Linked DNA regions of Drosophila melanogaster. The gene in region 2 interacts genetically with the main gene of each other region. Each region holds a gene or a part of one and is shown on either strand. Other genes may lie near its edges.

Region 1 (4,640 bases), on a different chromosome or scaffold from region 2:
ATTTATGCAAACGAGCCAATTTTATTATTCTTTTTAATCACACGTCACACTGCATTCGTTGCTGTTAAAAATAATCACAATTTTTGCATTTCGATTGCTTTTCTTTGCAATTTTTATTGCATTTTCCCGCTAATACTGGGCATATCCTTTTTCCAACTTTCGCTTAATTTCGCGTTTGTGTTTCCTTCCGTTCCGTTCCGAAACTCGAAACATGCGTTCTTTTATTTTTCGGAAATTTTCGTCCCGATTAGTTTATTGTATAATTAGCATTGCGCACACTGGATTTATACATTTTAAAAACATTCTGAAAATTTCGACCGTATCTGCAACGGCTACGGCAATAAACTAGAGTTGCCAGGGTCGGCAAAGTGATCCTATCGATTGTTGCCAATTGATTCGTCGCGGTATCGATACAACTAATTTGTGTAGTCTTTTTTTCATATTATTACGGTTTATATAGTAGCTAACACAATATTAAATCTTATTTCAGTATAACACGAAATTGATATTTTATCTTGGAACTCGAGTTTCATAGCATCTTACTTTTGCCTATGAACGTAGTTCACATTTCGTGTAAGGTGGCAGCTCTGATTTAAGCGCTTTAAATTCAAGTTAAAGAAAATACAAAAAAAAATGGGAAAATATTTATTAAACTGAGCCAGAAAATAAGTTGCCTTTGTTAGGCCTTCTTAGTAACGTTCCATATAAATAATACAACCATTAATAAAAGAGCACGTTTTAATTATAAATTGTAGCATTAAATGATTGAATGATCCTGTATGTTAGAGACCCGCAGGTCTGGTGTAAACTTTTGCACAATATTTGTTCCTTTTCTAATAGATATCAATAATTTAATTAACTTAAACGACGGTCTATGGGTTGCAGATCAAGTATCGAATGCTGTGTTCGCTATAGCTAGAATCCTTTGTACGATAAGCAGTTCTAGGAAATGGGGAAACTTTGGCGCTGCAGCCGCTCGAGCCGGAAGCATTGTCTTCTTAATTTGTGTATGTACAGTACATAGGGCTATGCAATCATCTATCAAATTCTACGAATTCAGTTTCTTTTCCTCGGATAGCTTTCCCTCGACTGGCGGCTTTTTGGCCGTAGCCAGTGGCGCCTTCTTGCCGTACAGCATGTCCACAAAGAGTGCGGCGAACACCAGGACAGCTCCAAGCCACTGGCGGGCAATCAGGACGTTTCCGAACAGCAGAACGGAGCACAGGACGGTAAAGAACTTTCGCGTCGTCGTAACCACGGAGCAGGCCAGAGGTCCAAAGCTGGCCACCATCAGAAAGATGAAGAACTGACCGAGCACGCCGCACACAGCTATCAGCGATAAATGGGTCCACGCCTCGGGATGTCGGATGGTGAAGTACATGAATTCCTTGGCCTCACCTGAAGATTTTTTTTATAGTTTTTCAGAACATTTATAAAAACGTATGGGGCTTACATAAAAAGGTCTTAGCCAATATTTTTAGCTCAAATAAAGTGTTTTTAACACTCACCTGTAAATACCATGGCAACGCCAAGCATCAGGGTGCTCCAGAAGTTCATGGCCCTCATCATCTGCTGACCGGAAGGCGCGCTGGCCGCTCGGATGCGTTCCTGAACGGCTCCAGTCAATCCGTCCATTGACAAACTGAGGAAGAGCAGCACCTCGCCGAGAAGCGTGGTCTCAGCCGGCAAATTGGACACCTTGCCCTCCTTGTACATAAAGAGAATAACTCCCAGGACAATGGTCAATACGCAAGCATAGCGCGTCCAGCTGTAGGATTTGCGACCAATCAGCACGCCCAGGATCATGACGGGGATGGGCTTGGCGGATTTACCCACCACAGCAGTGGGATAGGGAACCCAGCGCATGGCCATATTGGTGGAGACCATGGCCAGAAGATAGGTCAGCGAACAGGCCACGTAGGAGCCCGCGTTGGTGGTGTCCTCCTTTTGCGGCCTAATGGTCAGCAGCACTGGAAGACCACAGATCAGAATTGATTCGTTACAAGTCCACGTAATCCTTACCCTTGGCAAACACATAGTTGCAGAGGCACTGCACCCAAACAAGGGCCAAGGCGTAAGTGAAGCGCTCTCCCACGGATCCATCTGTCTGTACCTCCTCGCCGTAGCGGCCCCGCGTCAACTTCTCCTGGACAATTCCGTACAAGAAGTAGCATACGAAGATACCGACGGCGTAGATCACAAAACGGCTGCGTTCCGGCAGATTCATGGCGGGCAGATGACGGTTTTTAAAGCGTGTGACTTGCGAATTGGTTAAGTCGGACTTAATGCACGATCCTAAACAGTTGGCATTCTCTGGAGTCGCGGCTGCAGTGCCGTGATTTGGCGTTGACTATCAAATAATCCAATCAAATACGTGGTCGGTGCTGCCGCTTTAGCTGGCTACTAGCCAGATTAGATTAAGTGATTGCAAGCACCTGTATTTTTGGCCATTTTTTAGGTGCACTGTTATAGCTATGTTCTTCTTTTGAATCATCAATTTCATCATCTTATTTAATAAGTTTAAATCATAACTCTTTATAAATGAAAAATAGGGCATACATAAAACACTATAAATGTAATAATTGATAAATCAACTAACTAGCTATTTATTGAAAGCAAGAGTTGGCAACACTGCATTTGCTAAAGAGCGGGGGCGTTTTACAGTGTGACCGTTAGTTGGAAGTGAATATATTTACTTATCGGATATCTCGAATTGAACTTTTCGGCGCGAAAATTAGCTGAATTTTTCTTTGCAATGGTAAAATAACTTTCACCCCCTTTTTTATATTATTTGTTGAGTGTAAAATACCCGCTCTCCCCAATTTGTTTTCTAAAAACCCTACGCATGATTCTTTCAAAGAAATTCTTTGTATCAGAAATTGAATTTCGTTTATTTGGTTTTAAAATATATTTGCAAAATACAATAAACTATAGTCCCGCATACACAGGCGTATATGCGGGCTTCTCTTTGTTACACTGGTAATGCACTTGAAGTTCTTGGTTTTAGTGAATGCAGCCTGCACCCATTGAAAATACGCCCACGCGTAATACTGTTCTAAGAGCCTAGACAACAACAAACAAGCGATTATCCTCTTAAATAGCAGTTAACAGTTAAGCGGTAATTTGTAAATGATAAAAGGGTGTGGCGACTAGACCTTAAAAGCTATAATATGAGAGAAAAACAAAAAACAATTAAAACGAAAGGGGTAAAAACCGAAAGGAAACCGAGCGAAGCGTCTACAGAGGCACCTGCATGGGTGGCAGCCAGGTGTAGAAAAGAATGTATGCAGCGCTAGAAACCACGTTAGAGGAGTCCAACGCCGAGACGACCTGATCGTCGAACTTGAACCATTTTCCGTAGTTGGCGCTCTTGCAAAATGCCGTGTAGTGCCCGCCTTCCATGGTGCCGTAGTGATTGGATACGGCGTACAGCTGGTAGGTCTTAGGTGTTACCGCCCGCGATTCCGCCCGTGCTATGTAGGGATTCATGTCCAAGTTCTCGAGCGGGAAGCGCAAGTAGTTCTGCTTCTTCATGTACGAGCCAGAGTTACTGGGATCCGCATAGAAGCTATGCGGGATTTAAGAAATTATAAACAAGCATAGCATAGTGTTAGCATCACTTACCGCTTAAGATGCACCACCAGCACAGGTGGCAGCTTCGATATATCCAGCTTCTTGATGGCATCTCTTTTCGTTTTACAACTAGGACAATTCCAGCCATGGATCCTTTCTCCACTGAAGTACATGTCCATGCACTGGTTCAGCTGACATACATTCGAGTTTGGCGGCAGCTCCAGGCTGAGATTAGAAAAACTCTCGTACGTGGCGGACTCCTTGTGGCAGGCCACACATTTCACAGTGCTCTTCATTTGGCCATAGAATAAATGCAGAATCATGCTCTCCTTCGCCTTGGTAAATTCCAGCCAAGCCTTTTCCGACGCACTGATCATCTCCCGCTGACGGGGCACATGTAGGGTCTGGAGATCCGAGTGCAGCCAGTCCATCAGGATGGTGAGGAATTCGTGTGAGTCCTGCTGGTCAACGCCGCGGAAGATCTTCTGGTACTGGCCCACAACGTACTGCAATGAAGTATGTTTAGTTTAGAAAGAAATTTGGGTGTTTTTTTTTTTTCAGTTGCATACCCTCAAATCTCGGCTGGCCACACACTTGTACTGTCCATTCCAGAGCTCCTTGATGAGTGCAGCCACCTCTTCGATCACCTGGCCATTAGTCTTGTTGCTTCTGCTGATGTAATTCTTGTATTTGTCCGAAATGCAGTACTCGGTCAACTGAGGCGTGTTGCTCAGGCACTGCAGTATGCTGTTCATATAGCAGGTGTTGCCCAGATTCTTCAGTCCAGTCAGTCCACGACCCTGAAATGTTATCCAAGGATATAGTTAACTATTCGGAGATAGAGGAAAATAAAATCTATAGCTATTACTCGTCTCAGCGGAAAGATGGAGCTATAAATGCTGTAGGTGGGCGGAGCTGTTGGCAGCTGGAGCCTCACGCCCGCTACACAAATCATTCGCGGAATCCTGTATAATGCTATTCCTGCTTAACAGTATGGCAATTGTACGTTTCTTTGGTTTGAACATGCTTTGAGTGCGGACGTCGAGCGACTGAGAGTGGGGGTAGAA
Region 2 (5,194 bases):
TAACATTATCCTAACAAACTTAATGTCCCATTGCAATATGGATGGTATAGATGATATGGATATGTTTATATCGAGAAAGAGAAAACCAGACAAAATGAGTAGGCCATATATGCCCTGATGCGATTACCAAAAAAGTTACTAATCATGATCCTTAGGGATCAATGGGATCGCCTAATCATCGTCTGCTCACTTGCACAACAAATTATGACAATAGTTATTCTATCGAAAATGACTCATGTGCATTACTAATTGCTGGGAAAGTTTATAAAAGCCCAGCGTGTTTATACGCGACATTAGGGATTAATTTATCAATATATTATTGGCCAGCAGTCTTATTATTGGAAAGAAAATTTTATTTGAAATAACAAATCCCCTAAACGAATAATAATAATCCTCATACTACTGACTTAAAAACTGTAATAATTGTAATAAAACATAATACATTTGTAGAGAAAAATAAAAATCTACAATTTTTAACTTCAATAAAATTATAATACCGCTGCTTAAGTATACCACTATATTTGAGTACTTACATACTGTTCGATGTGTTCCAATGCATGTAAAAAGTCTTGGCGCAACTAGACATGGTGGAGAGCAAAACAGTTTCCATACAAATTAAAGTGAGCAACGTAACAAAGGATGTGGCACCAAACTTTGGAAATGGAATCATCATTTTGCATCTCATTGGCGATGGCTGAGGCGAAGATAACAAACAGTTTCTGTTCTTAATCCTCTTTTTACCAACAAAATGCCGTGATGCCTTTGATTCTATCCCTGCTTCCACCAGTACTGATGAATGCTTCTCGGGTGGTTGTCTTTTACTCGGTGAATAAAGCGGCTTGAGATTGTTAAAACCTTGAAACTTGCTTTTGCTCTTAGACTTTCGATGCATAGCTGGTTGCTGTTTATTCGTTGTCGTAAGCGCCTTATGTCGAATTTTTGGGATACTCTCAATACTTCCTGGCACGTACAGCTTAATGCTTAAAGGTTTTCCAGAGTATAGCTGAACTTTATGTTTCTCCTTTTGTTGCTGATGCCGGTGAGATTTGCAATTGGGGAAAGCTACTGGTGGATGTGAGTCTTCAAGCACTTTACTGGTAGTTAAGCGCCTCTTACATGCCAACATGCTCCGACGTTGACAACTGTCATGAATCTGAGACTTTGACTGGGTCCAGGAAACAGTAAGACGCAGTTGCTTTGATCGTTCTTGCATACCGCCAGCAATGTTTTCGATGTTAGATCGTTAGTAGCTTTCTTGCTAAATGCATACAATAAACCTCCGAAATAAGAATATGTTGACTGGCTACATCTACATCTGTGTCATTCCGCACCAAAGTGTCTTGCTCCATCTGCAATCAATAAAATAACAATTTTTACAACAAAACGCTGTAGCCGTGTACGAATTCTGGGCATAAAAAAAAAACACTGAAACTGCAGTGTAACTTGTAACATGATTTTCTCACTTTGGACGGTATAGTTACGAAGCGCACCAACAGACTAAAGACTACTATGCGGTTTGGTTGTTTACTTTACCCTTTAAAAGATTTCTTATAAATGAGTAAATTATATGTAGTGCGTTATAAAGTCAGGTGCAATTTAATTTTTGATGACAATAGTTAAATAATACAACTTTTGTGCATATATATCACTATATAAATATATATGCATATATAGGAACAATCCGAAAAAATTAAATTGAAAAGGCCGTTAAATTATTGTTTCTTTTTCATCTGTGATTTAGGTCTAGTATTCTTTTTAACGTAGACTTAGTTTTCACCTCTTCAAGATTAAATTTTGATACTGAAAATGAAATTGATATAATACCTAGGGTTCTTAGAAAATTTAACCCGACTTTTTTAGAGCGGAATTATACTTTTCAATTTATCTCGTCAAAAAGTTTACTAGGCAGTTAAAAAAGAAACAATACTTTAACGGCATTCTTTTTCGACCCGTATATGTATATGAACTACAAAATAAAAGGATTTCAACCTTCAATTCGAAGGTCGTTTGGCAAACGGAAAGAAAGACAAAAAATATATCGACATGGCTGTGTAAACTGATCAAGAATATGTGTTCTTCTATTGACATTTCCTCCTTTACTTCGTTGACAATCCTGACTGAAATTAGTTTACCCATTGCAAAATCTAACTACATATTATATCTACTCATTCTAAGCTTTGAGATCATTACGCGTTAACATTTTAATGTAACAGTAGCATATTATGCGTATTTATATTTTTATGTAAAGTTTATACAAGTTGATCTTTAAAACAAACAGCCTAAGACTGAGGGATCCTGTTTGCGCCGCGTTCGGCGGCAGTCGGCGAAATAAGCAGCTGTTAATGCTGATCAACAATATTTATATGTTGACTACCGCCACCTGACAGATTACGAGATTTTTAAAAGTACTTCGCTTTAACTTTGGAAACCGCCTAATTGATTTGATTCGACCCTGATTGATCAAAAATACTTATTTAACAGGCCGGCAAACCAATTATCAATTTAAGTGGGATACTACATTTTAATACATGTATGGTACATTTTCTATACAAACAGGGTTGGTAATGGCTTGGCGAAATATTAATATATTTTTTAACATTCATAGTCATAAACAATCAACATGGCATAAGATCAACAATATATAGCGGATCTGCAGTTCTTGACATTCAATTTATAACGGAACAATCAATATATTTCTTAAAAATTGTATGTTTAAGTGATAAAACATCCCAACAGCATTATACAATTACATATGTATGTATACACCAAAAGACATTTCTGTATACATACACAGTGACGACACACTCTCCGAGGAGACAGAAGAAACTCTATATATACACAAACATCTTACTCTCGGGGAAACATTCTTATTCGATACGATTAACAATCCGGTACAAATATGTTGGTATAACATAGTTGACATATAAAAACACAAAATATACATATATGCCCATAACACCGTCTTCCTTTTTTGGTACATCTTTTTCAAAATTACATTTTCACATGATTAAAAATTGTTCCAAACAGGTTTTTGTCTGAAGAGAAATACTCGAAAACAGCTCATTTAAATTAGTTTTTTCTACACTTGGACTACATACAAGAATTATTTATATAAATACTGTAGAGCTAGAGCTATAAAAAAAACTTGTTTAGAGCTGGAACAAAAAACGATGTTTACTTTAACTTTCGATGTATAAAGAAACTTAAGGGCATCGATAATTTTACAAATCAATCGATAGCGATTTTTTTCCAAAGGCCCGTATAATCTTATAATATAAGTCAAATGGTTTGGTTTTTTTTTTTTTTTTTGAATTTAACATATGCGAATTTCTACTATAAGTAATATTCACAGTAAAAACCATACCATATTGATAGGAAACTGTCTTATAAAGATTTTATTTGACATTTGTTGTAGCAGAACCATTATGTAAGTTCCTAGTAAATTTTTTAGCTAGGCTTAAGCACTATTTTATGTTTTAAGAATAATTTTATAATTATTAAAATTTATCTATTACCCGTGTCGAACCTATTTTGATTGGTGTAAGAAGTTTGAAACCCAGTGAAAGAGTTAAGAATTTGAAGTAAATATATATATGGTCAGTATCAAGAGCCGAGTCAGCACTACCGTCTGTCCGATCATCCGTTTTTACGTTACTATCTCTTAGCACCGGTTCTTGACTGCATAAAATTTTTGTTCAAGTTAAAAGAGTTTTCATAATTTTGTTTTCTTAAGTTTAGTCATCGGACGAAAAGTCCAGAAATCAATTGTTAATTAAAGAATTTAAATAGTTTCGTTGTTTTTAGTCATTAAATGTCCACATTCGCTCTGCTGAGATACTGCTAAGATATATAAGTTTAGCCTTGCAGAAGCTATCATTATTATCTCTAGTAATTATATTTTTATAGTGCTCCATTAACGCAAAATTCGCTTCATTGGGATGATGTAAAATTCAGGTCTTCGAAAAATTAATTGCAATTATTGTTTATAACATTATATAAAGATAAATAAAAACTTGGGTAAACGAGCAGGATGACAAAGTGTGTAATATATATAAGGGAATTTATGTGTTTTGCACTTCATTTTCATGAAGCAACAACCTGCGATATATTATTGGTGTAAATAGTATATAAGCTGTACGAGATTCGGTGTTTAAAGTAATTTTCGATATTTTTTGGATAGAATTCCGATTGCGGATAACTATTTGGTTGTATTAGATTCCTGAATTGTTACTAAAGAAACATAAATAGAGGAATTTGACTATCAGGATGGCCAATATAATGAGAAGAACGTTGATTCCTGGACTTTCACACTTGAGGCTGCGGCCACAACTTGTTGCAGCTGGATCGGCCGCGTTAACGTAAATAGTAAATGCTTACATAATTCGAATATATCATTTATATTTGTCCAATTGGAAACTCGTTGTTTAGTTCTCAGGAGACGCGACGGGGAGCAGCCAAGTGGTATCCAGACCCTGAGTTCATGAAGCAGTTTAGCGGCCCGGTGATGTATCCAGACGAGGTCACATCACTTTGGACAGTGCCACCATGGAACAGTTAGTTGGTAACCCAATATTAAACTGACCCTTGAACTAATCGCTTGACTTACCTCCTCTACTAGGCAAAGTAACGCCTGTCGAAAAGTCGGTGCGTAATCTGACCTTGAACTTCGGCCCACAACATCCCGCCGCCCACGGAGTCCTTCGTCTTGTGCTGGAGCTGGATGGAGAGGTTTAAGCTGTTAATCGACCACAGGTCTTGTGTAAATTAAAACCTCTGTTATTGCAGACCGTTATGCGTGCCGATCCGCATATTGGGCTGCTGCACCGTGGGACCGAAAAGCTCATAGAGTACAAGACATACACCCAGGCATTGCCGTATTTTGACCGGCTGGACTACGTCTCGATGATGTGCAACGAGCAATGCTACTCTCTGGCTGTAGAAAAACTCCTTAATATTGATGTGCCTCTCCGTGCTAAGTACATTCGAAGTAAGAATACAAAGTAATTTTCTCTTGCTCTTGACTTTGTAGTCATTAAGAAGATTTCAATAGTTTCGCTTTTTTAATATATGTATATATATATTATAATTTAGCATTGTCACCATCGCCATAAATCTTACGCAACAAAATCTTTTTAAAAGTTCTATTTAATTTTTGATTACCAAAAAAAAAATATTTTAAATTTGGGTTTGATTA

What was found.
Region 1: of Ephrin (region 2) and meigo, changing one suppresses a phenotype caused by changing the other (phenotypic suppression), as found in Drosophila melanogaster (one study listed by BioGRID).

What each region holds. Positions count from the first base shown.
Region 1 is NT_033777.3:21,136,448-21,141,087, reverse strand, and holds meigo (medial glomeruli), read right to left. Parts: upstream 2,819-4,640; 5' UTR 2,600-2,818; intron 2,534-2,599; 5' UTR 2,228-2,533; coding exon 2,023-2,227; intron 1,971-2,022; coding exon 1,509-1,970; intron 1,399-1,508; coding exon 1,049-1,398; 3' UTR 723-1,048; downstream 1-722. Other genes in the region: Usp8 (ubiquitin specific protease 8), read right to left, coding at 3,238-3,568, 3,625-4,079, 4,143-4,373. UniProt on the Drosophila melanogaster protein: Probable sugar transporter.
Region 2 is NC_004353.4:569,768-574,961, reverse strand, and holds the start of Ephrin (ephrin), read right to left. Parts: upstream 3,208-5,194; 5' UTR 2,791-3,207; intron 1,350-2,790; 5' UTR 1,214-1,349; coding exon 534-1,213; intron 1-533. Other genes in the region: ND-49 (NADH dehydrogenase (ubiquinone) 49 kDa subunit), read left to right, coding at 4,267-4,358, 4,429-4,553, 4,619-4,728, 4,786-4,987.